Lepisosteus oculatus: one gene and its partner. The protein of the gene in region 1 interacts with the protein of each later gene in a pairwise test. Links are inferred from orthologs where the notes say so. Each region holds a gene or a part of one and is shown on either strand. Other genes may lie near its edges.

Evidence for each region.
Region 2: the proteins of rundc3aa (region 1) and ras-related protein Rap-2b interact in binary tests that used the Homo sapiens proteins (3 or more experiments, as listed by UniProt). The two-hybrid records come from large-scale screens. The link is inferred for Lepisosteus oculatus from reciprocal best matches to the Homo sapiens genes RUNDC3A and RAP2B.

What each region holds. Positions count from the first base shown.
Region 1 is NC_090723.1:1,753,743-1,770,852, reverse strand, and holds the start of rundc3aa (RUN domain-containing protein 3A), read left to right. Parts: upstream 1-8,600; 5' UTR 8,601-8,667; coding exon 8,668-9,254; intron 9,255-13,758; coding exon 13,759-13,874; intron 13,875-14,096; coding exon 14,097-14,230; intron 14,231-15,928; coding exon 15,929-16,014; intron 16,015-17,110. Other genes in the region: map3k3 (mitogen-activated protein kinase kinase kinase 3), read left to right, coding at 1-149, 1,812-2,040. UniProt on the Homo sapiens protein: May act as an effector of RAP2A in neuronal cells.
Region 2 is NC_090708.1:2,999,664-3,016,053, reverse strand, and holds the start of ras-related protein Rap-2b, read right to left. Parts: upstream 6,554-16,390; 5' UTR 6,453-6,553; coding exon 5,901-6,452; 3' UTR 5,855-5,900; intron 5,521-5,854; 3' UTR 1-5,520. UniProt on the Homo sapiens protein: Small GTP-binding protein which cycles between a GDP-bound inactive and a GTP-bound active form. Involved in EGFR and CHRM3 signaling pathways through stimulation of PLCE1.

The DNA of each region.
Region 1 (17,110 bases):
AATGTGAAGCTGGGGGATTTCGGTGCCAGTAAGCGCCTGCAGACGATCTGCATGTCCGGAACAGGAATCCGCTCGGTGACTGGCACCCCCTACTGGATGAGCCCGGAAGTGATCAGTGGGGAGGGCTACGGCAGGAAAGCGGATGTCTGGTAAGGCTGCAGTTCGTCCACTTTCACTTCCTCGGCGCTTCCTCCTGCTGGCTCTTTATTCAGGGTCCAGGTTCTGAAACACTTTAAAGTCCATAAAATAGCTAAAGCAGAGATGAAGAGAGTTCAGGCAGTAGAGCATCCAGGCAGATCAATAGGAAGGTGTGACTGATCTTGAATTCTCCTGCTGAGAGTTTGAGAGTGAAAAGAGAGCACTGGAGCACACCACACCCCTGATCTTGAAGGATTATGGGCTGCTGAGACTGGATTTGAAAACAGAAGACATGGAAGTGAAGTTTAACATCATAGACAATAGAAACAAAGGGTTAAAATGCATTAAGCGTCTCTGAGGCCTGTTTTGAAGGCTGAATGACTATTTCCTTAGCTTCTCCACTATATAACAGCCCCCATGTGGTTTATTGAGAAGTTCTTATTTATGTGGACTTGCTAAAAAAGCAGTGGAATAATAAAAAAATTAGGCCCCTAAACTGAATAAGCTGCGTAAAGTGGGGGGGTTCACCTGCTCCTGGTTCACAGTGGGGTTCCCCCTGCAGTCTGGTTGGGCAGTCTGCGTCAGGGAGCTGGGATTGGCCGAGAGCCAGCCCTTCCAGTGAGCAGCTCGATCTGGGGTCGGAATGTTCCCCGCCCGTGTTCCCCACTCCCCCAGGGACTGGGAACACGCTGAAACCCGAGAAGGCTGTCGCCTGGAAAAGGGACCGAAATCGAAGGGTGTTTTTCTCCATCCAGACACTCTTCATGTCAGGACACTGCCTGTATTCTTTTTAATGCTGTACATAAAAAGTTTCCATGAAAACATTCCAGCTGTCTTAAAATAAACTCTCACAGTTTGTGTTCTTCTGTCCAGTGAAACCCCAGAGCAACATTCTTGACAAATTCTGATGTTTTTTGTAAATCTATATCCCGGTGTTTGTAGATTCCTAGTCCAAGTTCATGTGAAAATCTTCAAGAACCCGTGAGACTGCTTTATTAGAACAGCTTGAACGTGGTGTCACCATTTAGAAAAATGTGTGAGGGGGAAACTTGCATGTCATGTGTGATGGCAACACTTTAGCATGTTGTTACTTTTCGTTAAAGCCCGACTGTGAAGAGTTTTCAGGTAGGGTTCTGTCCAAGTCACTGTACTGCAATATCATCATCTAATTGCTGACGAATCTGCCTAATTAAACGTTTTTTTACTGGATGAAAAAAGTAAAAACTTCTTTTACCCTTAGCCATAAAAGGGATCATTATTAAGAAAGACTGAAATTCCCAGGGGTTTCACTGACTTGACAAGAGTTGGGCCTTTGTAATTAACAAAAGCTTTTTTATTAAATGTTTTTAATTTAGCAAGTGTGATTTTTTTTTTCCTTTTCTGCTCAGTTCTTGAAACTCAGCCCTTCAGCCTGTAGGTGGTGCCATGTTGCATACTGTGACATGATTTGAGGTTGAGATGGTATTGGAGATCAGCTTCGATTTCCAACTTTCCTGAATTGTATTTCTTGCTGCCCCTTAGTGGCAGCTGTCAAACCAAAAGTTTGAGACAGCTCTGAGCAGCAGTACCTTTGTAATTCTTAGGAAAGACATTTATGTGTGTATGTATATATAAAGCCTTAAAAATTGCAACCTAAATAAAATGGTTTGATTTTTTCCTTTTGTTGCGGACAGGAGCCTCGGCTGTACGGTGGTGGAGATGCTGACGGAGAAGCCCCCCTGGGCGGAGTACGAGGCCATGGCCGCCATCTTCAAGATCGCCACCCAGCCCACCAACCCCGCGCTGCCTTCCCACATCTCCGACCACACGCGCGACTTCCTCAAGCGCATCTTCGTGGAGGCCAAGCACCGGCCCTCCGCGGAGGAGCTGCTGAGACACCCCTTCTCCCAGATCCTGTGCTGAGCAGACCCCCGGGGCCGTGGCAGTCCCGCCTTCACAGGGGCACCTCCTGGATGAATGTGCATTCCCTGCGGTCACCACAAGGGGGCACCAAGCTGCAGTGAGGATGTCAGGTTTACTGAGGTGCAAGATCCTTTGTAAAAATGGTCAGGATCCAGTACTTTCTTTCCTGTTATTTTAATATGCAGTGGAATAGCTGAGTTAATGGCTGCTTCTGTACAGTGTTTGGGTTCACCTTTAATGGGATAACTGCCATTAGTACACTGGGATCCAACAGATCCTTTTTTTTTCCTACAAAATGGAATTCAGTGGTGCTCAGAAATATTGGATCCCCACTTTGAGCAAACGTCTTTAAGTGCAAACAATTGTATATAGATTTTTTTTTTCTTCAAGAGGCCAGGATCCAGGACTGAACAGTTCTGTTTAGAATCAGTTAGTGCTGACCAGATGCATCGTTAAGGCACTGCCCCTGGTTTTGAGTAAGTCTTGATAGCAGTGCCCGGAGCTGCTGTTCATGTTTGGCTCACAGTTGACCCAACTGTGGCTATTGTCTTAAATCGTGAAAAAGACAACTTCTATAACTTATTAGTATTTTGCAATGCTGTGTGTAAGATGAGACGTCCGTCATTTTTATTTGTGACTGAAATTTTCCCGCAGTTATTGTCTTGCCTTCAAAAAACCGGCCAGATCTTAAATTTCAGGTCGGTTCTTTCTCAGCACACTTTCGACTGTCCTGTAGAGCTGGGGGTTATTCTGGCGCTGGTCCCTGTACTCAAGGCGAGGCGAGCGATCGTGTTTATTATTTCACAAAGTGTGCTTGTGTGCCCGTCGGTCTTGGGACATCCTGTGTGCCTCTGGCGAGAGTGAAAGACACTCCATCTCCTCCAGGTGGCGCTGATGCCCCTGTCCGGCACTGCAGGGGGGAATGGTTTGGATCAGGAGGCAAGTCAGAGAAGTGTCTTGCAGGAGCAACTTCTGACTTAGCATGCTATTGTAATACTACAGATGATTCCACATTTCCTTGTGAAATTGTGATGAACTGCTGAATGGCACAAATGAAGAACCCCGAACTGGGTACTTTCCGCTTCTACTAAGAGACTGGTTAAATCTCAATTCCGACAACCTAGCTGATAGATAATGAGTTCCAAAACCAGGAGCTGGCATAAAGTGCCTTGGAGGTTTGCCCTGAATCAGGGCTACATGGAGAGAGAGCACCCTAGGAGGCGAGCACGTGCTCCTCCAGATTTCCAGCCAGGTTGAAATCTGACCTTGTAGGTTAGATCCAAAGTTCTCTTTACTTCTGTCAAAAAAACACAGTAAGTGTCCTAGTGCTTATTGCCTGCAGTAATTGCCCCTTACTGGGCATTGTAGTTTGTACCAGGTCTACCTGCAGGTGACAGTTCTGTAATGTTTCTGATAAGGTTTGAAACCAAAATCCCATACGACGGACTTGAGGGGAATCAGGTCAGCGATTCGCCTTGGTGTAACGCATTGCAGGGCACTGACAGCGGTCCCCTTGAGAGTGAAGTTAGAAAAAAAAGAGTTTTCAGAAGATTGCTGTGGCCACCAGGATGGAGAGGATGACAAATCCAAGAAGCAGCATCTTCATGATCAAAAAATAACTCGGAGCTCATGAAGCCCTCTGCCTGCTCAGTTCTCTAGTGGCAGTAGCATCTAGAGGGACAGTAAAACATGGCCTCCTAATTCTACATGATCTCAATTTGTTCAGTATTTTAAAAACGTTACATAGATGAATTCTCAAGAACTACAGTCAAGCACTTTACTATTTAAGAGACATAATTGGAATATTCAGTGTTATTACGGCTGTAGCACACCCTGTATCATAATCCAAGCCACTCAGTCAAAGCAGGCCAGAACAGAGGTGACACCAGATGTTCTTCTGATGCATATTATCAGCAACATATTTGTCAAGATAGAAACATGTGCCTATTTCAGCATGAAGAAACCTAGCCCCTGCTTATAGGTATCTTTTTCCATTTGTCCTGTTTGTTTTGGATCTGGAACAAGGGATATGGACAGCGTTAATGCCTTTCTGAATATACAGTAGGAGAATGCAGTGTTTGTTCTTTTTCTAGTGAGCACAGACTGACCTGAATCAGCATTATTCCAGTGAGAGTCTTCACCGGTTTGACAGTTCTGAGAGTATTTGCACTGAACGGATGTCACAAAGAAAAGCCATTTTTGGACGCTCAGATTTTTTTTTGTCCAGCACCAGTCCACTCCCCGCGCGCCCCCCGGCCGAAACGCGATCCGATCTGCAGTGATCGCGCGGCGGTCTGGCCGTGCGGCTGCCTCTCTGGGACTGTTTGTGCCAGCCATTTCTTTCTCGTGTCTCGTGAGGGGGTTCTCCGCACCACATCCGTACTTGTACCAAAGAGTGTTCTTCTCCATTTTCCCAAAGAACGAGTGTTGGGGTTCGAGGGGGCAAAGCCTTCATTTTGACTTCGCCGATGAGCTGAAGTGAGAATGCGGAAAGGCGTTCTGTGTTGGAGACGGTTTGCTTGGCTTGCCTCCTCCTCGCTTCCTCCCCCCGAAAAAAAACACGATTTTCTTCCTGAGACGGTGTTATTCCAGTTGCTTCCAGTATTTTGTACATTAAGTAAAATGTTCGCTGAGTTAGAGAATGGGGGGGCTAAGGATAAGAGGATTAATTTCTCTCCTGCCTGTCAAATCTAGCATTTATTTTGTCAGAAATGCACTTTTTTATGAATGTAGGTATTTTTTGTGCCTTTGTTAGCTTTTGGCTTTTTTTTTTCACAAAAAGAATCATTAATGTGAAGCCTCTTTTTCTCTTTATTTATACCCTAGAGTTCATTAATAGGATGATGTGTTTTTTATATATAAATATATTTTTGTTATATCGACTCTAGACAGTTGGATGATGTTTCTAATGACAGTTTCTAATGATGCCTTAAGAAATATGATATAAGAAAAACAGAAGCAGCTGGTTTTGCAGAGATTATGCTGAGGGATTATTTGTAGTGTTAAAAAAACACTGGGTCAAACGAGCTCTGTATTCCCTGTGAGTGCTGTACAGGTCTGTGAGGGGTGTCCAATTTATGTAGCAGCCGAACCAACAGTCCCACTGAAGATCAACCCTTCACTAGACAGCAACTAAAAGATGGGAGTCCTGTGAGGTCCAGTCCTGTTAACTGGACTGTACCTGTCAAAATAACTGGATCAAGTCAGACTTTAACCAACCCAACAGTCACAAATTCCACTGCTCAGTCCTGGGAGACTTTTCCTCCTCGCGCTCCTCATGTGTGGAATTGCCAATTGTTTCAGCACCTTGCCTTGCTGTTAAAACATCTTCAGCAGCAGTGAAAAAAAGTGCGCACACACACACAGCAACCAAAACACGCACCACCAGCTTCAGGTGAAGGACTTGGAACAGCAGGCTCTAGGGACACTGCGAGCTTGCGGGCACCCATGGGAGTCACCGTAGAGAGGCACACCAAGGGACCGTGCAGTCCCATAACCGCAGTGGCACGGACCAAACAATGCTCTGCGGCTTGGGGAATTGTGGGTACACTGCACTAATGACATAGCTCAGACCTGAAGAGGCAATCTCCAGGATACAAAGCTCTGCCCACAGAGCCATTTCCCCATTGGGTCACTTGGAAAGGCGATGACAGTGTGCTAAAAGAGGGTTTCTGGGGTTTCATTTGTGACGGGGAGGCTGAGATGGGCTTCTACTGCCTTTCGACCCTGTATTGGATAAAGCAGTGAGAAAATGGAGGGATGGATTCGAGCCATTTATTGAATGAGGACATTGGAACAAACACCACAGGGACACATAGCCTCAAACTTCAAGTGGTCTGGGGCAGCATGCTGTATCCATGCCACAGTCTGCAGGAGTTCTGTGCTTTTTTTCTTTTATTAGCACCTTTGTAAGGTTCTACTGTTTTCTTTCTGTTAAAAATCATTTGGGACAGTTGACTGAATGTCTTGTGGCTCAATCAGTGAGCACGGTGCCGAACACATCTGCCCAATAATCTCTGAGCACTTTTAAAGTTCTCAAACAGACGAGGGAGAGATCTCTTGACAGCCAAACCACCCTTTCAATGAATGCTTTGGACACTGTTGTGCTACAGTGAAGCTTCTCCAAATGTTTTCTTCAAAACAAGTTTCAAACGGCGTGTTTTCGTTCATCACAGTTGCAGTGTTATTTAAAAAAAGAAGCCGACTTCTTCTTCAATAGGGGGAATTGTTTTAAAACAAGTGCTTATGAATGGAGCACCACCATTGTAGTGAAACTTTCCGTCAGTAGGCTCCACAGCACTTTGAAATTGGGCTTGAGGCTGCTGAAGTATCTTTGAGTTTTAGGAGGCAATTACAGGGGATACCAGAGCAACATTTCACCCAGCGTGACGATTCTGTTTAGCCCAGGGTTGGGGGACCTCCTGAGTGCCTGTTTTGTGCTGACTATAACCTTGCAGTCAGAAGTCTTTCACCTCGAGTGAACATCCACTCGTATCAGTTTTTTTCTATTATTTCCGCTGCTCAACATGGTGATGGTTAAGTTTAAAATTCCTTGCCATCAAAGGAATCTTTTCTTTTGAAGTGCTCGATATCTTCCAAGGAATGTCAGTGTTGTTTGAGACCCTGGATTACTCAGAAGAATATGGACCAGTAGTTTAAATATGTATATGAATATATAAGGATATATATATCGACAGGGGGCTTGCAGTGCAAAGCCAGCCCAGTGTATCAAAATTTATTTACAATAAAATGGTTCAATATGCCTACTGAGGTGTCTGGGAATTGTTTCTTACATTGTGGAAAATTTGAGTTTGTCTAAGAGGTTTTTTTAAGTAATTCTCAGCTGGTAAAGAATTTGTACTGAGGCTGAATTCTGTACACTGGTCTTAATTTAGCCACCTCGTGGTTACATCCATTTAGTATTTTTATAGCTGTCCCAGCTTGCAAGGTGAGTTCTGAAGGGGGTTTCTTATTAATTCTGCCCTTCAAGCATGCTTTAACGTGGCAGATGCCAGTTAAAAATATGTCAATTATAAGACTGCGTCCACATCACAGCCTGTTCCTTCATTTTCTACAGGTTTTTCACAGGTGATTGAAAAGTGTTTCCTGACAGTCTGAGTCACATTGCTTGGCAGAATAGTTTTGCAGCTTTGTATCTTTCGCAGTTACTGACGTGTTTTTTTTTATCCCGCATCTGCTGCTGTATATACAAATTAGAATGGCAGAATTACTGACACTCTTTCTTGTGCTTGTACCTTTCACATGGTGCATTTTCAATTAACCTTTAATTAACTCTGCTGCCTCACACCTCTTGGCTTCTGCATTACCTGCTGGATCTTCTGTGTGGAATTTGCATGTCACCCTTGTGTTCTTTTGGCTGTTGGAGTGCTGCACTTTGCTCTTGGTGTCCAGAACACGTGGGCTTTTTTTAACACTGTCGCTAAATTGCATGTGGCCCGGGACAGACTGTAGTCCTGCCCAGCACCCTGCGCTTTCTGGGATGGGCTCTGGTTTGCTGTACCTTACTGGGAATGAGCAGTTTCCCGATGATGGATGAACGATTTCCAGTACTCCCTTCCCCCATTGCTCCCTTCTCGGTGACCGCAGTAAGTGTTCTTGCACCGGAGATAGAGCAGGATCCTGGTAAGGAGCATTTCAGACACGTGATGAGGAAGCTGCAGGGGGGGCTGCTCTTCAGGTGCCACTTTAAACTCGCCGATGATCTCGGGTTAAACCATTAAAGCACTCGCCCAGCCCTGAGCTCTCTGCTCTGAAGCGTCGATGTCTGTCTTTCACAGCTGCGTCCGACAAGCTTCCTTTCCCGTTTGATAACCAAAATGATCCGCCCGTTGATATGATTCCTGAGCAGCATGGCACCTTTCAAATCTGCACGGTTCAGCCAGGTCGAATAAAAAATGTCGATGGGTGGATCGTCTAGACAGCGATTTCTTCATGTGTTAAATGATTTTGTTTTTGCATTTGAATACCGTTAAAAACATGCGAACGGTATAGTTCAAATTGGACACAGTACGCGCTCAAGGTAACCGCACAACCGAGACCGGATTGCAGCCGTCAAACACTGCTCGGTAGGTACAGAAATTAAAACTCCCCCCAGTGGGCTCTTCTGTAAGATCTTGGCTCTTACCCTGCATTGAGAAAATAGCCGTAAAATTTATCAAAGCCTGAGCGGTTTTTCCAACCTTTTACACCACATACAGTACGTGTCTAAAATCAAACCTGATGAAAGGTCCAGGATTAGATGAGGTACAGTGCGCCCTTTAATGACTTAAGATGAATTTTAAACCTCATTTTACATGAACAGAAATGTTAAGACTTTCCCCAACATGTTATGCTGACATTCAGGGAGCGGGCTATAATTCTTTGTCTTAGTATTTTATTTTCAGGTGTACATGTACATCGTGTAAGAACATCGCTGCCTGTTATTTTAAGGCCCGGTAATTACCAAGATAGCGCATTACGCTGTCCTCGTAAATATAACGGTTTTTTTTTTCCAAGGCAAACTATCACAGGCTACAGTTTGAATTTCCACCTTATATTGAAATACTCGTATTATTTCTGATATAGTGGATCATGCTGGAGGTTACGGCTTGCTACCTGATAGTATAAATGAAAGATCGTGCTGCTTTCCGTGCATTAAAGATGCAGGGATGCAGTTTCGCAAGGTTTATTTATAGTTCATTGCTGTGCTCGACAGTGGGTAGTTCTAGCTGTATTTCGATGGGCTGTGCTGTTCGACACGTCATCGAAAGCCGGGCTGGGGGGCATCTTCTGAGATCACTGGTACAGGAGACAGAGGGAGGAGAGACGAGGGATGTTGTAGCACCTCGGACAGTACCGCTTCAGCGAGCTGCGTCGGAGGGCCGGTATGCACCGGAGCTAGAATTACATTTGTTTTTTAAAAAAGGGGGGTGGGGGAGATATCGGTGCATTTTGACGTTTGACGGCTCCTTTCGTCGGTTGGGTACGAATCCCTCATCGCTGGCGATCTCCTTCCGACAGCCCGAGGACCCGGGGAGATGTACACGGCGTAACAAGGGAGGGGTCTTGTCGGTCGGTACCGAGCGGTGTGGATCTGCGCCGTCCTGGATGGAATCGAGCTGCCTCCAGTCTGCAATGGCGATGGGGCTGTCGTCGAAAAAAGCATCTTGTCGGAGCGTCGCGGTGGAAAGGAAGAACTTGATTACGGTTTGCCGGTAAGAGCTGGAGAGGAATGTGAATGGCCGTTTTACTGATGCACTGTCGACTGTGGGTGCTGGGATTTCTTTTTGTTGGGGGGTCACGTTACATTATTTTTCTATATAGTGACCACCGCTTTAAGCAGTCCTCGATTTCCAGCGTGACAAACCCTTCGCCTGGTCGCAGTCTGTAACGCAGAAGCGGCCCGGCTCAACGACGAGACCGGTGTTGAGCGCTGATGCGAGGATGAGGCAGGCCGGGGTCATTGTCGCGATGGCTTTATGATTCGTAACGTTTCACTATAGCAGCTCAATCAAAAATAATGAGATACGAGTGATCATCCTAGGAAATTCAAACATAACATATTCGTTGTCTTGACGGGTGATGTGTTTTGGGTCGCCCGTAGTGGGTACAAGCGAAGAAAAGATCAAATAACCGGCTGGCAGGCGTGTGGGGTCATTAAGTGAAATAATGGACTGCTGGAGCGCTTGTCTTCCGCTACTGTAGTCCTTGAGGGCTGGGACCTGAAGACCGGGCCGGGGGTGCCTGTGTGGTGTGTGGTACCCCCGGTATCCGGGAGGTTGTTGTGGATGTGAGGTAATCCGTCGCCGGAGCAGGAATGTCACGGATGGTGTCGTTGCCAAGGCGACAACCTTCCCGTGGAAGAGGACACTGTAGCTGCCGTCGCCTCGGCTGTGTCGCTGTGCTGAAGGAAACCTCAATCAATAACTGAGCGAGAAAGCATCCGCTGTCATTTGTTTTGATCAAATATTAAAGCTTTAAAAATGGATTCAATTGCTTAACAATTGTAGTGTCCTGTCGTGGTATAGGCTGCAGTGCCCAATGACCTTTTCTCGTTGAGACGAATAAAGGCCACTAGGGAATAGCAATTAACCCCTACAGCAGTGCTTCTGACTGACAGCAATACTTCTGCACTATCATTAAATGTTTTCAACAAAATAGCTGGTGACATTGTTACCGGATATGAAACAAGTGTAGAATCACCAGTATTGTATAATGTGCATATTCCCTGGTGTGTATTTTTAATGCTGTTGTTTAACATTGTGAGGACAGTGGGATTGTACTGCGCATAGCTGGAGTGAACAACTACAGTACGATTCATTTTCACACAAGTTGTTTTAATATTTATAGTAGTACAACCTTGTTTTCCCAATGGTAACTTTATATCTGATGTGCTCAATGAAAATCCAATACAACTGCTTCCAAAATATTGCTGGTCATTTCAGAAAAATAAATTGGAAACCGTTATGTTGTCCACACCATCGTACAGTATTCCTTCAGAGGAGGCTAAATGGAAAACAAAAATATTTTTTCTTTCACAAGTTGGTGCTAGAGCTTGTGAAACATAATCCAGTTTGTGAGAAAGGAAGTAAATCTGAGGTATGTTGTGTAAAAACTGCTAGCTCCTTTTTAGCATGTCTGTATTAGAAGGAAGAAGGTGGAAGATAAAGTTTTTTTCAAAGTAGGCATAGCTGCTGGTTCAAATAAATTTCAAGAAATGTGCTTATACTTGTACTGCTGAAATAACCGGAGGTCAGGGTCCGGGAGGTAATGGCATTGTAGCTTTCCTGTGGAGCACAGGCGCAGTACAGGAGCCATGACAGCAGTCTTTACCATGAAGATTCACGGTCTGGGCGATAGATTGTGAATTTTTTGCACTCACTATAGTAGGAATATCTTTGGCTTAGGATGTAGACTCTGGCAAAACGAATGCTTCTGACTGACAGTCAACAAAGGAGCTGATACCAGGTACCGTCTTAAAATCGGGGTCAAACTGAAAGCATCTCAGGACAGGAGGTGACAATAAGGCCATTGTCCCGTCGTCATGGGGACGCATCGGAATGGCCGAAGGAGGCCTTGTGGTACAAGGGCAGCACCCCTGACATCACTGAATTAGCCAGCATTGTTCTGAGCGCGTTGTCAGAGCCGGAGATCTGACACAGACTGGAAATGGAGTTGGGTAGGAGTGGCGCGTTGTTTGGCCACTTCCATAAGGCAGACTACTCATTCACTGGCTAGATCTCAAAATACCACACTTGACGGCGACTGAAACCCTAGAAGTGCAAACTCCAGATTCAAGTGCTTTTCACGGACCCTTTTCAATACCTAAAAAAACAACAGGTCGTTTGACATTTTCCAAATATTTAGCTCAAGTTAACTCAAGTAACTAAAATTAGAGATGTGAAAAAAACAATATGTTCATGTGGCATTTCAGTGCTGGACTTGCATTGTATAGGGTTCCCAAGCTGTGGTCCAGCATGGTCCTCCTAGAATATCTGAGGTATTCGCAGAAGTCTCTTGTTGGCTTTACCTTGAAGCTTGATCTTCAGGAGTTCAGCAAGACTGGGGCCTGCAAAGTTCTGAGAAGGAGATGGTACTGTATCTAGGAGAAATCAAGTGAAACAAGTTCCTGCTTGTAATGGGGTTGGCACACCAGTAGGTGGCACTGGTACCCCTGATTCTGAAATCCCAAGACAAAGGCAGTGGATGAAGAAAGACAGGCTGAAGACCTGAGGCCTTTTTGTGCCTCCCTGATCTTTGTTGTCCGACTTGTCAGGAGTCTGGGGTTACTATTCTTCTCTTGCAACATATGAAGTTCACATTCCCACGACATGTTAATGTGCAAAACCATTCTGTTTAGTTTAGCTGGTGTATAAAATTACTTGCACCACAGCATAACACAATGTAACAACAAAAACTAACACAATGTTGTAGATAATGACACAAGCAATGTATGTCTGGTTTCACACACATGAGACAGACCTCTGTCATCTTCCTTGATCAGGAAGATCCCCCAGCCTCAATGTGGTGGAATGTGAACTTCAATCCCACAGAAAATGGTTTATTTCAGCTCCAGGCCATCCTTTCAGGAAAATGGGGTGGTACTGGGGTACCTAATATTTTGGCCAGTAGGTATAGAGACTGCTCCTAGGATCTGCAGGGACAGAAAATGCTTTTGCAGCTTTACACCCAGCATCCAAGAGGGGAGACATCCAATTTCTGTATTTTTGTTTTTGTCAGTTGTCCTTGGCTTTAGAAAGTCCAGTAAAAAAAAAAAGAGAGTTAAATCATATTTAAAAAGAGCCACTGAACGTTTCAAGAACTACTTTGGAATGCCCTCATCGTACGGCATGCACTTTTCTCTTTCTGCACAGGAGATTACACATCCCAGTATCAGCCCTTAAACAGAGCCTGCGAGTTGAATGCCATCATAACAACTGAGAACAAAGTACTGCTGTTTTGACAGAGCATTATAAGGATGTGTTATAGGCTTCTGCATGTTTTTTTACATTTGATAGATTTTTATGATGTAAAATTCTCTCATGCTACATGTCATTTATCTTCTTAATTTTATGTTACTCTTGTCCCTTGTGCAAAGAGAAAAATGCTCTATTTTCACGAATTCACACAGCTCCAAAAACTGCTCAAGAAGTTATTGCTGCCTTTGTGAATGTCTTTGTTCTTGTGCTCGGATTGAGTGACTGGCACTGCCGTTTTTCTGCCATGTAACATCCTTTGGTTTTGTTTTTACCTCTTGTTTTAATTCTTACTGATTTAGATAGAGCTCTGTATCAACATTGGAGATAAACAAATGGATTCAATACATCTATAAAACAATGACAACAGTTCTATTTTACAAGTGTTGTGAAAAAAGTTCAACCTTCTATGGTCTCTTCTATAAAGTGTGTTGATGTTGGCATTCTGGTTGGATTTTCAATTCAGTTGGCATTTTCTACCCTTGTATGTGTTCTGCTAATCAGCTTTGAGAAGAAATGTTAGATGATCAAGAAATGTTCGATGTTAGATGACCTGAGGAGGTCAGTGGATAGTGGTCTAAGTCATAAGATTGACAAAGAATAAATAGGCAGTGGTTTCCCTGGAGTCCCTCGAGAAATGTCAGGATGAAATCCTTGAAATTCAGTACATTTCCAGCTTCCAAACAAGCTAGTGGTCCAGAGGGGCATCTTACATTAGTATACTACAGTATATGTGGGGGCATTACGAGCACAAAGCTCTTCTCCAGTCCCGGTCCTGGGCCTGTACACCCACTGTTCTCATTCCAGCTGAGCTCTTTACCTAACAAGTTAGCTCAACTGGAACCTTTGCATGTGTTTTTTATCTCCAGATGTGGGGATCTTAAATTACAGATCAAAAGTTGCAATTGTTAAAAGTCCACCTCCAACATGCTGAGGAGGCGAATACAGTTAAAGGACTGCAAAAAGAATTTTCTTAGCAGTGCTGGCAAAGCTTTTAACTGTATTAGCTGCATTTCACGAACTAGAAAAACAATTGTGACAAATTGCTTTCAAATCAATTTGCTTTATTCTTAATTCTAAAGTAGTAAAAGCGTTGTTTTTTTGCAAATCTTTGAATGCTTGTCTAAACATCCCTGTTCTTCCAGAGTCAACAGATTAATATCCTTCAGTTATTTTGTCTTGAGTAAATTCTTAGATCCAGAAACTATATATAGTTTTATGGTCTGTGGGTTGTGTTCTGCAGGTTTTCAGTGAAGACGCTGTTAGAGAAGTACACAGCAGAGCCTATTGATGACTCATCAGAGGAATTCATCAACTTTGCTGCGATTCTAGAGCAGATCCTTAGCCATCGTTTCAAAGGTAATTGAACCGGAGTCCAGTGAACTGGAGTGCTGAATGAATGAATGACCAGGACCCCTGCCTCAGACTGATCTGATTGCTGGTGGAAAGTGTGAAGCCCGAATTAAATCTAATTAAGTTAACAGAGAATCAAATTACATTCATTAACCATCGGTCATAATGATGAAACTCATTTTTCAAAGCCGAAGAAAGCTTTCTGACTTTTCAAAAATGCCTTCTCAGGCCCTGCCAGCTGGTTCAGCTATGATGGACAGAGAAGCTTCTGGGACTACATTCGCGTTGCCTGCAGCAAAGTCCAGAACAACTGCGTCTCGAGCATCGAGAACATGGAGAACATCAACTCATCCCGAGCAAAGGCAAGAGGCCACTTCGGGAAGTTCTGGAAGTTCTGGAACTTGCCGACCGCAATCCGGCACACGTACAGAGTCTGTTTACGTGCAGTGGGATTGTCCACACCCCAGTGTCAATAGCAGCCTATGCCACTGCCAAGACACTACAGGCCAGACTATCAAATTGTCTGTTTGTGTCAGCTGGGTTTTGTGCTTTGTGTTTTTGCTGCACGCCCAGAGACATTAATAGGCTTATGCATCTGCCCTTGAAAGCTGTGCTGAGAGTTACTGAAGCAGATGGGGAAAGTCATAATGTGACATCAGTACCAAATATTCTCTCCTAGCTGGTTGTATTCACCTAGCCATTTCTGAAAGAAATGTCTTGTCTTCTACTATAATATACTATATTTTGTACTATGTCTGCTGATGATACTGATATGCTTTGTGGCTCTAGATCATAATATACTTCTGTTCTGAAATTAAGGCTACAGTGTGCAGAAGCCCTTTCCTCACTTTTCAAACCACTGCAGATACAGATTTTAAATTTTCTGCATTTTTATCATTATTACATGACAAATGACATGACTTGTCACCGGGAATATTTGTGATTCTACTTATAGGGAAGACCACACTTTGGGACAGTATGAATTTACACCATGCCAGTGATGAGAGACCATTTCCTTCTTAAATAGCCATGTGATTATTTTAACAATCATGTTTCCATCATTTCTGTGAGAACTTTACACTCTTTTCTATTGATAGTTGCAGTCATTATGCCTGCCTTGGTGTATATGTTCCTTTCAATTAAACAGCATTCCTTTTTTCAAATTATTGACAGGTCTGTCAAAGGATCCTTTGTTTATCTTGTATATTTTGCTTTATAATTTGTATGAATTATAAAAGTATGAATTTTGAACAAAGGGAGATTTTATTTAATGTATTTTTGCAATGGTCTGTGGGTTGTGTTCTGCAGGTTTTCAGTGAAGACACAAGCTCTATAAGTTACTGAATGATAGTATTTGCTAGGTTGAACTTCCAAGAGATTTTACAGATACCTTGCTGACTTGTTTACAGGAGGAGCGATTCTGAAAGGATTCCCCAATATTCTTCCCTTTAAATGTGTTTTAAGCCATCAGATATCACACATGTGGAAATTGTAATATAGGTCCTTTTGCTTCATAGTCAATGTACAGTGTTATTTTGTGTGCTGGTCCTTTCAGTGAAAAGGGAAAGATTCCTACTGTGGGTCAGTGCCTTTTATAGACTGTGTGCTGCATACACTGTGTACACACTGATGTGAAGTCACCAGCTTTTCTCTTGCTTGATAATTGAGTTGAGTTTCCCATAACCAAGTACATACAGTATATTTCATATGCTCAGAAGAATTTAAATCTCCTCTACAAGAACATAGCTTGATCCACATCAGCCTACAAAACAATTTAACCGCAGCCCTGATCTGATTTGCAATCAGCGTGCTTAAAATGCATCATATGATGTTTCACCCCTTATCGATCTGTTGTGTGAAAAACAGAGGACATGCCCAAAACTGGACTGAAAGATGGGAAGGCAGGGAATCGCATCTTGTAATTAGTGCAGTTCCTTCTGTTTTAGGTGATATCTGGCAGTCTGAGAGGAAGAATATCTGAGAAGCCCAGTAGCTGCTGCTGTGCTGCTGAGGCTGTCAGACGAGGTGAATAATGGGCTCTTTGTTCTTGCTGTCTGCAGGGCCGTGCCTGGGTGAGAGTGGCACTGATGGAGAAGCGTCTTTCAGAGTACATCGCCACAGCCCTGAGGGACACGCGGACAACCAGGTATCGCCAGCTTTCACCCTCCACAGAAGCACTGCCGGGCTGCTGAATATTGCTCCAGCTTGAGAATGTGTTACGTTATTTATAGCGCAGAAAAATGGCATATTCCATAGGAGCGACCCACCCTCTGCAAAATGAAGTAGCAGCAGACTAGGCCTTTAGCCCAGTGTGCAGAGATATGGAAAAAAGGCTGATGCAAGCAGCCTCATGGGAAACAAAATTACTGGTGCATTGCTGAAGGCAAAAGCAGATCTGGCTAATTTATCAGTTCAGACAGCCTCTAAGGTTTAAAAGGCTGTGATTAGCAAGTGGAAAAATAAACACTGAAAGTACAACGAAGGCTGCAGGAAGCTCCTGCACTGTAACCCTGATCTTATGTTCCACATCAGTTGTGTCCACTGTTTATTGCAGCTGATGCTCAGGGTTTGGGCAGTACGTATTGCTCATTTTGATCATAAATATATATTTGAATCCTTTACTTGGTCAAAGATACAAAACCCTAAAAAATCTTTCACTGGGAGGGCAGGAATTGACTCTGACTATTCAGGCACATTCCAGCTCCTGTTTCTATACAAGTAGACACATAAGAAAGTCAAACCTGACAACTTCTCAAACGAGAAGAGTCTGTGGTAAAGGCTGTAAGGGGAAAACTGATTCCTCTTGATGATCCAAAAATCTTTTCACCAGGTGCACAGAGTGAATCTGAAAAAGCATCAGCTGACCAAGGCATTCTTAACTAAAAAAAAAATGCAATCATTTTATTTGAGGAAAATCTTGCAGGATCTTTTGGCAGTATTTACTTCACTTTTGACTGTTTGCTCGTGTAATGACAATCTAAGAGTGGCAGAGAAAGCATTACAGAAGTTTTACAAGAGTATTGTTTTTTAATCCATCCATTTTCTAACCACTTCTTCCAGTTCAGGGTCATGGGGGAGCCAGAGCCTATCCCAGCAAGCAACAGACACAAGGCTGGGTACAGCCTGGATGGGACCCCAGCCCATCATACTGTAGGGCACACACAGGCACTGACACACACCCTCACACCACGGACAGTTTTCCCAGAAGCCAATGCACTTACCTTTTGGTCTATTGGGGGAGA
Region 2 (16,390 bases), on another chromosome or scaffold:
ACAGAAAAGCACATTTTCACCTAAAAAAACCCTTTAAGGTTAGCTTTAGATTTAGGGCATGTCATGACTTGTTAGACAACCTGACAGAGTGGAGGAGGTGCTCATGAAACTGTATCTCGATGATGTGATTATCACATGACTCTGCCCCAGGCACCAGCCATCTTAAAAGTCTGCCTTATATTTCCTGTCATTCAGGATCTGCCATCAGAAGGGCTGAAAAGCAGTGCATTCCTTCCTGTTCACCCCAGAACTGTACCCAGAGCCGTTTCCCTCACCCCCCACTCTAGACAACTGCCTTTACAGCTGTGCAAATGACTACAGTTTGAAACTGAAAACTGGGGAGGGGAAAGGGGTATTATTACACAGCTTAATACTTCTTTTCTTACTTAAATGCATTGCTTGGAGTTAAGGAAATTATTTCAATAATGCTGCTTCAAGGATAAATGACAGAGGCATTCAAACATAAACATTCAGATTAGATCATACAAACGTATTCATGGCTTAGGTCAGTAAGGGACTGGCCAAATAATTTATTATCAGAATTTAGATTTAGAACTTTAGAAAAATAACACCCACCTGCTTGCACATAAAATGAAATTCCTGGCCAAACCGTCAAGTGTGGTGAAATGTAAACAGGGAAAATACTCTGATTTTAAACTGGATGTACAGTAGTATGTATGTTTGTGTGTAAGTCTGCTCCACAAAGAAGCTATGTAACAGTCCCCACTACCGACACAAACTATAGGCAGGAAGTTCTGTTACCTTGCGCTACTGAAATGAACACTAACAGGGTTGTTAAAAACATGTATACAGTATATGCAAACACAGCCTTTTCCTTAAGAGTAGCAAAGCCCATGTTTTTAACTGAAGATCACTGGAACATAAAGTAAATCAAACTTTACTGAAACTACCATCTTAAATTTCAAAAGAAAGTATACTAATCATCTACGGGCAGCAGAACAAATTGAAATGAAGATATACTGAAGTATACCTTATCACAACATAAAGCACTCACAACATGGAACCATGCAATTAAACCAAAAAGAGAGTAAAACAACTTTAGCTTTGTGGGAAATGATGACCTGATATTTCAAACGGGTTTCGTGCACATCACTCTAGTTGCAGTAAATTGCTATGCAGTTCTGAGTCCTCTGCTCAGACAAGTTATTTTTATTAAAGTGCGTCTAGCAATCTGAAGGTTATGCCTGAAACATGTCAGGACAATCGGGTGATAAGTATTACAAAAATCCACAAGAATTTCAGGGTATTCTGCACACTCATTAATTGAAGGCTGTGCTCAAAGCAATAGATGATGCTGCCAGACCTACGAGCCTCCTAAATTTGAAATTCAGATTATTTTTAACCATACATAACAGACAGCTCATACTTCTTTTGGGAAAAATAAAGAAAGGGTTTGCACGCAATGTGACACCCCTGCAGGTCTAATTAACATTTATCAGTGCATCTCCTCAGTGGTTCTCTTGTTGATGGATGAAGATCGAAATTCACTGTGTTGTACTTGAAAACCCACGAAAGACAGCACTGATATCTGCATGAATGGTCCATCTGTGCAGTGCTTCCTTGTTATAACGCGGGAGAAGAAGAGTGTAATAAAAACCACTGTGGCCTTCAGGAGAACCACAGTGAAAGAAGACGCGACCCTTGTCACCCTCGGATATGAGATGAGCACCGCAGGGAACCACAGAGGCCATCTTCAGTACAGGAGGACAGCACCACTCAGAGGAACCAAGACCTTCGCTCATGACAACACCCAGAGGAACTGCGCTACATAAGAAAAACACAGCCACGGACGGCTGAGCCACTTCAAGGATATTTTCCGGCCCTGATCTCGTCAAGATACTAACAAACACACAGCTCCGGTTCTGTTTGACGCATCACAGAACGTTTCAATGAAAAGAGTTACATTTTCCTGTTGCTTAATGCTTAGTTCATATGACAGCGTCTACTGGCAAAACAGCCCTTTTTCATCCAATCTCTCAGACATATCACGTCCAAACCAATTTTTTGTCTTTTTTTCCCCGCTTTGGCTGGAACTATCTCCTCAACAAGGCATGTCAATCAAACAACAGGGTCAAGTCCTAAAAAAAAGCTCCAGAATTTCACACTCAATTACAATGATTGAGGCAGAAAGGAAGAAGTTGGGAGACCAAGCTTACTTCAATTAAAGTTTCATGACTGTTCGCCTTAAGAAATGAATAAGGGAAGTGAAATAAGCCCAGAAGAGAAATTGGGAACTTAGTTCTGAAACACTTATGATTGAGGCCTGGTGTCATCTGTGCCTTAATACAGCAGGCCCAGTAATGTTTCATTCATACACTGGAAAGTGGCAGGGAGGGTTTTAGGGTAAGAACTTAAAGGACAAACTATCCAAACAAGAAGACAGCTGCCAGCGCAGTATATGAAAAGTCTAAAACACAGTTTGTGAACTACTGGTTCAGTTTTAGTGTGCACACCTCAATCGAGTATTGTATGATATGCAATGATCAACCAACCTGAAAAGAACAGCTCTCGGCACTCATTACTTATCCATCTCAGTTATTTTAAAAATCATCCATAAATGAACTGAACTTACAATTCTGAGTCATAATAAGCACTGAAGGTGTTTTACAAAGACCAGATGCTTTTTAGTGAGACAAGGGAATGCTTAGGAATCCTTGAAGTGAACTTCCTTGTCACTTCAGCTTGACATTTAAATCTGAAGCAGACAATTTTAAATCTGACATTCTGATTCACAGCCTATATGCCGCAGAGATGCATATAACCTTGCTGAGGAAACATTCAGATGATATGATTAGCTCATTCTTAACGCCAACAAGAACAAAAAAAACATGATAAACAACTAAACACATACTTCTTAAATAGGAGGGTTTAGATTCATTCAATGCTCTGGAAACAAACTCAAATGATTCTTACAGTTTTTTAGACAGTAACCATCAAGATTGCAACAGCTGCACCTTGAAGAAGAAAAAAACATTCCACATTCCCTGTCATCTTCTCTCAAACGCACACACTTCAGGTATCGCAGTTGGAGTCCCTCCAGCGCCAAAAAAAGAAAACCGTTGCAAAGCACTCTCTAACAAGTACATTTGAAATTAAGAAAGGACGGTTACAAATGGCAGGAGGTTTTGCGTCCCATCTAGCTGATTTTGTAGCTAGGAACGCATGTCACCCAGCTGTTTCGTGAAAGACACTGGGGCATCTGCTTCAAGAACAGGACTGGGCAGCCAGTTCCAGACTCTCACAACACTTTGGATAAAAAAGTGCCTCCTGATCACAGCTTAATAAGCAGCTCCACACAGTTCTAGATTGCAATAAAGTAAACATCTTTCAAACACATATCGACAGAGAAACAAATCATCACAACCTCTGAAAGATCAAATCCTTTATCTTGCTAATCACTTTCCTGTAAAACAAAAGCATGAGGTGACTGAAGACACACTACAACGTGGTACACCCACAGAACCACATTAAACACCATCACCATTTTCCAGCCCTGTCCCTGGAATACCCCTACGTCTTTTGAGTTTTTGTTCAAACTAAACCATTCATCTATTACGTTTACCGAGCTATTTGCTTACAGTTTCATGGCTTGCATAGTAAAAGAAGGTATAAAATTTGCATTTAGTCTGGACCAGAAGCGGGGTTTCAGTATTTCACCTTCAAACGAGAAACCTAAGTGACAGGAACTTAAGCAACAAGTCCATAGGTTCCCAAGAATGCTTATCATGTGAGTGTTCGATATATTGACCTTCTCTCTTGTGTATACTCTTCACTAATTGATAACTAGGGACAACCAATAAAGGTACAGGGAAAGCAACAATTTAAACCAAGTGGAAAGAGATCTATCCACTATGTTTCCTGGTAACAATAAACAAACAGGAGATTTTTTTTCTCAAACTAAGACCCTGCGTGCAGAAAACGGCCAGAAATCAAACAGCCGAAACACACAGACACAGACGATACCACTGACACGGGGCTGGGAAACACAGACTATCAACAACACACCGCCACTATCAACAAATTAAAACAAACGCACTGCTTTACTGGGAATCGTTGTCGATCCACAGTATGGTCTACTACACTTCAGTGTGTGATGGTTTCTGCAGTTTCTCCTTCATCTGTCAAGAGTGATTCAACTAGAATGTGGTGAATCACATTTTTCCATTTCCGGCTATGAGAATGACAAAGGCAGGTACTAAATACTTTTAACGCTGCTTTTTATACTACAGAGAAATTGAGTGTAACAGGTTATCTGCTACACACCCTTCCTAACTTATTTTCACCCTGGATGACTCAATCTCTACGTTGCTGCTGAAATCCCTGTGTGGTGCAAACACAGCATTTCACAAGACTGCAGACAACAGGAAAACCCAAAGGACTACTAGCACTAAAAATGACAGTGACAGCTAAGGGAGACATTAAACACATTTGAGATTTCTTTATAATCTGCAAAGCATACTTTGTAGTGCAGAAACTGCAGTTAAACTACAAAAGCAGTACAGTGTGTGTTTTTAAAAGCGGAGGTCTGTATCAAATGCACATTTGTACCTACAATACTTGACAGAGTGTGAACAAAACAGAGAGCACAAATCCATTTTTTTTTACAAATGCAATTTGTATTAAAAGTCTTTTGAAAACAGACAGCTGTTAAAAGGCTGGTCTGAAAATAAAATTACAATCGGGTTAGAATTCCAATGGTACATCACATTTTGTTAAAACAAAAACACAAAAATTCCTTTGCATCTGCTGGTCTGGGAAGAAAAGCAGGGAAGAACAGCAAAACTGATGTGATGATATCCAGTACCTGTGGACTTCAATTAAAATCAGGCCGAACCTCAACAGGCGTAGAAATTACATTTAAAAGGCCAAGATGCTTTTTTAAAAAACGCATTCAATCAACAATAGGTTCTTCTGTCTCTTTTTTCTCCTGTCTGATTACCTAAGGGAAACAGTTAAGTACTTTGTGGATTGCAAGATAATGGGATTGGGTGGAGACTTTCGTAGGTTGGCACTAAGTTAAACAGCTGATTTTGGAAGGCACTAGTAGACACGGGGCTCTTGGCGTCCCCAAATCACTAATTAAGGTCTTCGTTGACGGTGTTACGGTGGCACTGCTCAGATGATGCAGGTTTTTCTGATCAAGCAAAAAAAAAGTTATTTTTCTTCTTTTAAAATGTGTGTTTCCCAAATTGAAAATACCACTGATTTCCTTAACTCCCAACTCTATGTAGCAGGTACAAAATATGTTTTTCCCCCCCAGAAACGAACTTGCCCGTTCCTGCTCCCGACAGCAGAGTCTGATTAGTTCCAGTTAAGGGTGCAACAGATGACACCGCGTTTTCTGCTTCCGTGCAGAGCTCTTACAATCTCGGTGACCCTTTACGGGGTGCTCCTTTTTCCCGGTTCGTGAACATGTTCTCCTCGCATTTAGCCACACAGAAAAAGTCTTATTCCGTCCCAAGAGATATCTTCAGGAACCCCCGCATCAAGGATGAAACCCTACAACAGATTTCCAGGACAGAAAGAAACAGACGTGTTGGTCTTTTTCTTTGCATTTTAAGTAAATAAATATCACCACCTAGGCACTCGACAACGATATTTCCAAAAATGCAAATGTCTTTTTTCTTCTTTGTTTTTATTCCCAGAACACTAGGCGTATTCTGCCATGTAAACACTGGGTTTGGATCACGTTTTGTAAGAAGAGTGTGCAAGACAGCAGGACACTTTTTTAAAAAAAAATACTGATCATGATACAGTCGACGTATTACACCATAACGTTATCAACCAAACTGGTTAGTCTTCGGATCTTTAGTTGTGTATTAGAGTCACTCACCATCGCAAACTTTTTTTTGTTGTTGTTGTTGTTGAGAAAATATGTTTTAAAGGATAACACACGAGGAACAGCACTGGTCGTCCCCGTTTGGCTGCGAGGCATAGTTCATCTGCCTGACAATCTCTGCAAAGAGTTCGTCTACGGAGCCTTTATTTTTGGCCGAAGTTTCCATGAAGGGGCAATTCCATTCATCTGCCAGCGCCTTCCCTTCCCCCGAGGACACTTCTCGCTCGCCTTCCAAATCCACCTTGTTCCCCACTAAGATCATGGGCACTCGCTCGTATCGCTTCACCCGGATGATCTGATCCCTCATCGGCTTGATGTCTTGGAAACTCTGCTGGTTTACCAGGCTGTAGACCAGAATAAAGCCCTGCCCGTTTTTGATGTACAGGTCTCGCATGGAGGCGAACTGCTCCGTCCCCGCGGTGTCCAAAATCTCAAGCACCGAAGGCGAAGAGTCCACCTCGATCTCTTTCCTGTAAAAGTCCTCTATGGTCGGGTCGTATTTCTCTATGAAGGATCCCGTTACAAACTGCACAGTCAAAGCCGATTTGCCCACTCCGCCCGATCCAAGCACGACTACTTTGTATTCTCTCATGGCTTCTGAAATAGTCCTCTCCGCCTCGCTTTCTCTGGGCTGCGCTTTGCGCCGCTGGCCGCCCCGGTGCGCTTTCAGACCTTCAGGAGCCCCGAGCCTCGGGACGCCCCTTTCCACCCGGCTCTTCGGATTTCCGCGGCGATCGTGCAGGATCTGCGTGTCGGGCGAGAAGCGAGGCGATTTAAACCGTGCCCCAGCATCAGAAATGTAACATGTTGCGCCCTGCTGTTTCCTTGTGCACTGCTACTGTAGAAGGAGTGATCAACGCACTCTGACCACGCTCTTCCTGCCCACAGACACAGCGCGCAGCGTCTGCGCGTCACGGCCCAGAGGCTGGGCTGAGCTTCTTAAAGGGGTAACGACGAGCTCGCCGTCTGACTCTTGCGCCCGGTTTTCCCCTACTCACCTTTTGTGTACAGGCGTGTGATACCGGGGGGGACAAATCACGCCCAGTCTTTGCTAACGGCGTGCTTTCATGACTCATCAACCCCCGACACCCCTCTTCACCGAGACGCATTCACAGTGGAGGAAATGCCCCATTCAGCCGGCGCTGCTGTAAAAAGATTGATTCACAAAAGGAGGGGAATCTAGGTGTGTGTAAAGGCGATTAATGCATATCCAGAGCCATCCGGTCTAAGAAAATAGAGGTTGGGTTTAAAGCGATTTCTTGGCCTCTAGTTTTTATCATAAAGTGTGGATTTTTAGATAGCCATTGGCACTTGGGTTAGAACGCCTCACTGCTAGGTTTGACAATAAAACGTGGATATATATATATTGGCACTTGGGTTTGAACGCTTCACTCATGTTTTTTTTTATAATACAGTGTGGATTGTTATATATACATTGACTCTTGGGTTTGAACGCTTCACTGCTGTTTTTTATAAGACAGTGTGAATTATATATATATTGGCATATGGGTTTCAGCGTTCACTGCTGTTTTTTTTTTTGGTACACAACAAGCGACGGGGAAGACAATAACCATACTAAATCTGTTTCCTGATTCCAGTCAATGAACATACTTTACATAATCTTAACCTTCTTTTGCAGACAAGCCAGTATTCTCTAGCTGAACGCCATTTGTTTTACAACAATGACCCTATAAAAGCATCCTCACATGTCGTTTAGCTTCTTTTGATCACAGTGTACTTAAAGACTTATAGGAATATGTAGATTTATGTGTCGTACCACTATCCGCTGTCAATTGAGAGACACACGGTGTCTCTCAAGATCTGTACTGCTTCTGAACAAAAAATACCATCAGCTAATGCGCTTGTTTGCTTTAAATAATACGCCACTCATTGAGGAAAAAGGGAATGGATTTAAATTAAGCGCATAGAAAACTACGGCAATAAAATTCCACTTTAAGTGACTCACAACGAAACATTTCCAGACAAATTTACTTATCATGTGCAAACTAACACTAAGGCATCACGAGATGGTAAAGGATTACAAATAATTCGTGCATATGCACATAAACAGCGTCACCTGTAATTGCTTAAAGGTCTGTTTTTTATAGGAACGAAACACGATGAACTGCTATTATTTAAGTATCTCTGATCCAAGGTTACTTACAAAATATACAATATTACAAAAATACAAAATATTATCGTAATACAATATATACTTCTTTCAATATTGCGCTTTTTTTGTGAGAAACACACTATAGAAAACACTCAACTGGAAACGCTCATTAATCCTTATCCTACATAAAAGTATGTCTTCTTTAATGTTCATTACCCCCCAAAGAAACTGCAATGGCCCTGGCAATAGTTTCGAACCGAAATGTATTTAGTTGATTTAAACGAATACGTTCTCGGAAAAACAAACTCTCCATTTATTTAAAACCATTTCATACGTTTCTCTAGCTACTGGTTGTCATTGCCTAGACACAGCCGATACTTGGCGAAGAATGTAACTGCAAGTAACTGCGCTGTAGTTGAGCACCTTTGATAAGCAGAGCAGTGTACCGAAGTGAGTGAGTCATGCAGCCTCGCTAGCGCAGGTGGGGGTTATCTGTTTCTGTCTGACACATTCCTCTGCCTTTGTGGCTTGTGATGTGAGAAGGGTTCATAACTCACTGCCTTTTTCCTGCTCGGGACTTAGGCGGGGCTGTTTCAATAAAACAGCGAAGTGGCACCAATCATTTTCTGCACGGGTTTTGTGTAAACCTCAGGGCGTCTCGGCGTTGAGAACACACTGATGTATTCGGCAGAATCGGTACATTAAGATTTTGAGAGGTGCAAGTATAACGTTTCAGTTTAATACTTTCTTATGTTTTAAAGAAAATAAAAAAACGCAGTCTTAAAGCTAGCAACTAAATTAGTCCTATCCTTGCTGTGAATCGTGGGATATGTCTGAAATACATCAGACATGATAGGTTTGTCTGTACAAGACTAAAAAGGTTCAGTTCCTTCAGCCTGTCAGTGTAGGAGCCTAGCTTCTCAGCTCCTGTAATGTCTGCTCTTCTCTGCACTGATTCCAGTAGCAGAAATATCTGTCCTATACCACAGCGACAAAAACTGTTCTAAATGAAGCCTTACTAGTGTGTTATGCAATTGTAACATAGCTTTCCTTGATTTGAATTCTCGATTTGAATTTGAGTTGTATTTCCACACAGTTTCTGCTTTTTCGAGATACCTAAGGAAATGAAATACCCGTTTTTGACATGACATGTGCAAATAAAGGTAAAGTCTTTTTCCCACCCACACAAATATTCCTGCACGGTGGAAGATGAATGCAGGTTACTCCTAGTACCTAGAAACAACAGAATGTTAGTATGATTTCTTTGTGATTGCTTTCTTCTGTTTTTTCTGACATTTTTTCAACTATACAAGGGGCTTTTGTATTCTTCATATCAGTTCATTCAATGAACTGTAAACACTGAAACTATGAGGAAGGACGCAGAATAGCCCCTGCAACAGACTTCTGTCTGCTAACGAGATATACCGTTGACATATCTCGAACTTTATTCCTGCCAAATGAAAAGGTAGCACAGAGACCTGTGACACAGGAAGTCATGGGTTTCCTCCATTAGACAGAGAGAAGTGTCTGGTGGCTTCGCCTTATAGCCTTCCTGTCTTCCTGTGCACAGACGTCATTCATAGAATCGCACGAAGCGTTTGTACTCGCGGAATGGAGATAAACTGGTTCAGTAAGCCTTGCAAAACAACAATTGCATCTTTAATATGTGATGGTTTCATCTTTGTAGCTGGATGTAAAGAAAAGATGCTCAAGCTCACTTTCTAAGAGGAGAATATTAATGACATCTTGCAGTTTTGGCAGGGCTTCGTGACTTCATGTGCATCACCTGCAGGGTATGTAATTAACACAGTGCTAATCTCTACAATGCAATTGTAAACCTGCTCATCTGAAAATGATTTTAAAGGCAAATGAATTTATTACATTTTTACCTCTATATATCATGTATGTGTCATGCAGACATTTAAAGGTCAAATATTTTCTTTACCCCCAGAGTAGGGGCAAGTTTATACATATATTCATATTTTATTTAATATAGTTGTTTCTAAACATTTTTTTTTCAATGAAACAATACAAGCAAAAGTAGGACTGAAAAAAACTGCTGTCTTTTTTAGATAAATACAAACCATGTGACAACTGTGTTTCAGTGAATAATCCTCTGGAAAACAGCAAGCAGTCATTCCACTGGTGGAAATGAAAATGGTCCCAGCCACCATCCTCCCTCATAAACAGTTCCTGAGTTTAATAAACAAACAGGGCCAGAGAAGACTAACCATTTAAAAGTAAGAAAAGGTGAGGGAGTAGTAAACAGCCCCCATTTCATTACCTTTTCATACCAATGGAAGATGATTTGTTTTTCTCCTCAGCCTGTGGTTAAAAGAAGCCTTTGGCACCCAGTTCTTCCTCAGTGTGGGAAATCAATACTTTCTGTTTCACGGACTGCTGTTCTTCAGAGAGCAGCAGTTTTAAGTCATGATAAAATTAGCATTTTTTTCTTTCTAAACTTATTGACTGCTTGTGTGCAGTACATTCCCCTGACATGAACTGTAACTTGCACTTCATATCCACTGCGTATATCCCCAGGGGGAAAATTGTGAAGTGAAATATTCTAATCAATAGCTCTTTAATCGGTGTGTGTGTCAAATATCGACTTGCAGTTCAGTGGCACATACATTATAAATACGATTTGATATGTTCTACTGAGCTTTTTCTCCAAAACAGACCTTTTAAAAAACAGGGAAGTCCCGCATACGATGATATCTAAACCACCTGGATTTGAACCAGCAAACCATTTTCTACAATAAGCACTAACCACACACAGAAGACAGAATACGGCAAAACCATTAATTACGAGTAAGATCATTTAACATGTACAGAAAGTAATCAAAGGAACAAGTAATAGGTTTATTCCATGCTGAAAAGAGAAGAGAGAAAACACAACGTTTCAGCTGTGAAGCCTTCTTCAGGTGTGAGGGGAGCAATCAGCTCCATTTGTCTTTTCACAATAGGGCAGGCAGAGAGGCAGAGTGCCGTTACAGTTCTCTAACTGAGGTTAAACAGGGCAGCCGAGACGCTCATTCTCTTTTTTCTCTTTTGTTTTTGCTGATTAAAGGCAATCCACCAGAAGACTACTGCATGTGAAAATTAAATCAAAGGTGCTATTGTGTTTCCTTCTGATGAGGTTTTACAGCAAATTTAGCGGAGATACGGGATCTATATCCCTTTAAGAAAGGAATCTCACACCTTTTATGGCCACATGTCCAGACTAGCTTTGCTGCAAAGTTGAGTACAAGAGAAACACAAGGCCGTTTGTCAGAAAGCTGAGCTGTAATCTGTTGATTTGTTACTGGTGAGGGCATTTTCCCTTTGTATCACAATGCAGAAAAGCAAGAGTAAAACTGAATACATTATTTGATTTATTCCTACATTATGTACTATGAATTCTTCTAAAAGTAGTATTATTTAACCAGGTCCAAAATAATAACAATAATAACAACAACAACGGTCATTATTATTATTATTATTATTATTATTATTATTATTATTATTATTATTATTAGACATGTCACTTGGAATGTCCATGCCATTGGACTATGGGAGGATATCAGGGCACTAGCTATGTAGACATGGGAATGTCAAGCGAACTCCACAGAGAAGGTAAGGTTCCCAAGTCTGGACTTTCACTGAAGTATTGCAGCCTGACACATTCAAAATGGAATAAAATGGAATAAAAACTGTACTGTATGTCAAACCCTAGGCAAGTTATGAGAACTTCCTTTCTTTTGTTTTTTTCAACCCATGAAACCTGCACGTGACCTGCAAGAGGAAAGGGGGTTTTCTCATTACTGCAGTGTAATGAAAAAACCACAGAGGCTTGGTGTCACTGCTGAGAGCCTCATTGAAAAACTCAAGAATAACCTCACCTCCGCTCTGCTGCTTTGCAATGCAACAGGACACAGACATAGCATCTAATGACTTTTGTGCAAGTCCTGTTTCCAGCCCTGATCTGCAGAACCGGATCAGGGCAACATTAGCACAGACTTCTCAGAATTCTTGAAACACACTATATCAACATGCTATGAAGCAGCAGCCTCACTCAGTTTATTGACTTGATTCAGTTTCTCATATCTCTTTATATACCTCTGAGAGCAGTTGAGTGAGGGAGGTGCTGCTTACCAGCATGAAAAATACATCTTGACATGAGAATCCTTTTGCTGTTTACGTGCATTGTAAGGCAAACTCAGCAAATGTTGTAGCTGTATACAGCATGCGGATTAAACATTATTTCAAGAAGATATGCATCTGTGAATGCATGTTAGTTTTTGGTATTCATGAGATTCTACTTTGTAGAATATTACACTGTAAAAATCTTTCTTGGTAAAAGAACCGCCTGACATGGTAATTTGATTATTCAGATGTTTTTTTCTTGATTTAATACTCAATGGAGTTCCAAACCAGTTGCAAGGCTTGAAAATGATTAATTAGTGCTCTGATGGAGAAGAGAAAATAAAAGAAACTGGTTCATCTGGCAAGGGGTAAGGATTTTGTCACACAAATATCTCTGGCTTTTATTTGTTGGTCTTAACTAAGAAGGCTGATTTACAATACTGATTACAATACTAGTTTTCACTTGGATAATTGTAATAGCCTGACAACAAAAGCATTGCTCTAAGGCTTCCAAACTAAATGTTTTAAAATCTTTAGTCATCATTTCACAGAGATCTTCTTCATACAGGGTAGTATTAACTTCATATAATAATTGGTGCTACTAACAGTCTAAACCTGTATTAGAATTTCCATTTGTTTTTGGGGTTTTCAATGCTTCAATTTAAAATGCTCAGTATGGTTAGATTGGCATATACTGTAGCAGAAGCATTCATATTGAAGTAAAAAGCTGTACACAACACACATTTATGAAGGTACAGTATGTAAGTACGTATGTGGTACATGTGAGAGTAGTAACTGTGTGCTTTATAATACCAATAAACTGTTTGGCACTCTAAACAATATATCATTTATAAGGAAGATTACAACATGAATTTTCACTTATTGCATCATTTATCACCAAGTTTCCACATCAGATACTAAAATGAGTCAATCATCTCATGTAATTTCAAGTAACACAACGACTGATTAAGTGCTACCTCATAATTAAAATGTATCTAGTCAACATTCATAATGAGACAGTTTCTCCGAGCTTAAAAGAAATACAGCCACTTGACAAGGTTGTATTAGTTCCCCCCAATAGAATTTAAAACGTTTCAGTCACTGTGGGCTCATTCACAATTCACTGTGCGCTAACTTATCTCCATAAGACTGTAGTTTGGTAGATGATAACTAAATTCTCTTCATAGCTGCAATGTTATCTTTGATGTGGGGAGACCAATATCCTTCGAAGGTTCACCCTGCTAGACATTAAACAGCAATGCTCTCTTCTCTTTCTCTTATCCACAGTTTCACTTTAACGTGCCGCTAAAATGTAGTTCAGTGGCTCTTGCAATGTAAAACAAATTCATTTCTGAATTCTTAAAACTGCCTTCTTCCAGTATTTATGACATTTATTAAGATTTTCTGGGCCGCCTTCATTCTCTGTCACCTGCCTTTGAGAAGACATTCAAGGACTTTTTCTGCGAACACACAGATCAATACTATCAGTAGAGCGCCTATGCTGTTTAGAATGTGTGGGCTGTAATTCAACATGGAATTAAAAAAAAAACTAAATGTGTAGCACCACAACTCACCCTGATATGTACTGTATATAGGCACATTTTATTGGTGACTGGTCTGACAGTTGATTGACATTTTCTAAAGGCCAGAGTCACTGAGCATTTACAATTGGGCCTGGACTTTTCACCCCATAAGACTTCACTCAGATCACATTTGCCTTTTGCTGATTTCTTGTAGTCAGCATGCTGTGCTAAACACTTTGAGAATATTACCTTCAGTCCCACATGCGGAAAATGTGACACTTAATTGCACTGGATTAATTAATAGCTTTATGTTTAACAGCAGAGAATATATAGATTTCCTGCCTTAATGCAAATGAATTGCTGGAGCCAATTAATAGATTAATGTGAAAAACACTGGAGATAACCCAACAGAACCTAAGTTTCTTGAGTTACTTAAGTTAAATTAAATTCAAATGTGCTGCATCAGATGATCAGTATTCTGAAACCCAAAGTGGTTCCTCTTTAAAAAGTGCTGCCTACATTTATATGAAATGTTACAAAATACTTCTGCTGCAAAATCTTTCCTGAGCTGCGCTGAAATCGAAAAAGGCAGGGTTGAGTAATGTGAAATCGTAGATGATGATTTCTTTTTAGCTTTACGGTTTATGTAAATGTTTTTGGAGTATTATCTTCCCCCGGATATAAAGGCTTTAGTGGGAAAAAACGAAAAACAAAACAAAAAATAAACTAAGTGACAAAACCTGGTTACTGATGGTTTTCCATAACTGTTAGAAAAAAAAACGAATGGCCTATGTACAGTATTTTACCATATTTTCATTGTTTGTTGTGCCCTTTACTTCAGAGCATATTAAAGAAACGCAGCGCAGCTATCTCTTATCAATACATCTCTTATCAAACACTCGCTCACCATATTTCGTGCTCTTCGAACTTGGCTTTATTATTGTTCATGATATGTAGGAAAATGTTTGTTTCCTCTTTCTTGAAAGCTACTGTTAAATCCACTGATGTATATCTAGCAAGAGAACACATATTGTATCTGAAAAAGTAAAACACATGTACATTTTCCCTGAAACCTTGTTTGTAATGTCAAGTATTTTTACGCAGGAGGAAAGACGTTTGAAAGGTAACCTGTAATTAGTAACAAAATTATTCAAATACAGTCAAACACCATTAGAGTATACAATTCTGTAGGTTTGCTAATAACTGCTTTATTTAGTTTTTTGTAACTTGCTTTGCGAATTATATCCTCACAGAAAAAGAAACTAATTGCCAGAGAGACAGATCCCACAGAAGCCTTTAGAAAAGAAAGACATAAAACTGAAGAAAACTGTTGTAATAAAAAGCCTTTATAATACAATCAAACTGGTTCTGCACAGCCTTGAAAAGTAATTTGTGAGGCTCACATTATACCCAGGTTTGCCCAGGTTTTACTTTAATTCCAGCTGTCTGCCTCTCTCCCATTACAGGTGCAAACTTGCACCCTAGATGGCGCTGTCCATTTGCTTCTGAAGAAAACTACCGAATTTGACACAGTTTAACTTTACTGTGTCCCAGAAAGGGTAGCTAACGCTGTTGCCTTGTTTTGCATTTAGCTTGTGGCAAGTTCTGTATGGAGTCTGCATGCTCTCTCCATGTCCACGTGTGTTTTCTCCCATGGGCCAAAAACGTTCTGTCCAGGTTAATCACACCAGTATTAGCAGCAGTCCGTGTTCTCAAACACCTCAAGGAAGCAGACAAGGTGTCTTCGTACATCGTTAATGTTTGCTTTAAGATGACAAGTGTTTTAAATAGTGTAGTAACAAGCACCCCCATACCCAGAGCTTTATTATTTCATCTGTTTATTCAAAGCCATTCCTCATACTGCTCTGCAATAGAATAATACCAGGGACATTCTCAAGGAAAAACTTTGTAAATAGCTTTCTTATCTAATTCAGCTTGTGCACAATTTGCACTACTAATATAAGAAAACACAGCCAGAAGGAAGACTTTATGGTTCAACAGAAGTCTGTCTTCTATATACAGTATTTTATTAATATATCATTACTGTATCATATTATTAGTTATATATGTATGAAAGGCATCTTTGTTTCACACTCAGGGGACACCAAGATTGGTTACATAAAGCTCACAGTTATTATTAATAGAATGTTATTTTTTACATTTTCTACATACAGTATATGAGCATTTTTATTTTGAAGTATGGTTTCTCATTAAAAATATGAAAGAAGGACCTTGGTCACTTAATTAACATCTTTGTGCTTTGTAACACACATGCGCTCAGTCCAGCAAATAGTCTGTCACAACAGAGGGAGAATGCGAGGCTGAAAATTCATTAACAGCTTGGACAAATTTCAGAGGAAAGAGAAGGTTTGTCTTTTAATACTTAACATAACATTTAAAAGTGTCATCTTCAAGAAGTACAGAATGGAATTATTCTATGAACAGACATTTATTATAATTTTCAGTGGGTGCTGAAATACAGCATGTATAGCATAAAGCAGATGAATCGCCAGTTTTAATACTGTTTCAGGTAACATATAAAAAACTCTTCAGGTAACATATAAAACACATGCTATGGCCTTTACTATTACGGTTTGTCTTTTTGTTATTCCAAATGTTCTTGTAACTAACTAGCTTACTATGAATAAAAAAAGGAAATAGCTGAGCTAGAAGAGGCTTAAGAAAAAGTTGATGCATCATTTACATCTTCTAGGCACGGCGGGGAATCCCTTAAAAAGGCAAACGAAATGCTGGGCTATTAGTTAAAAG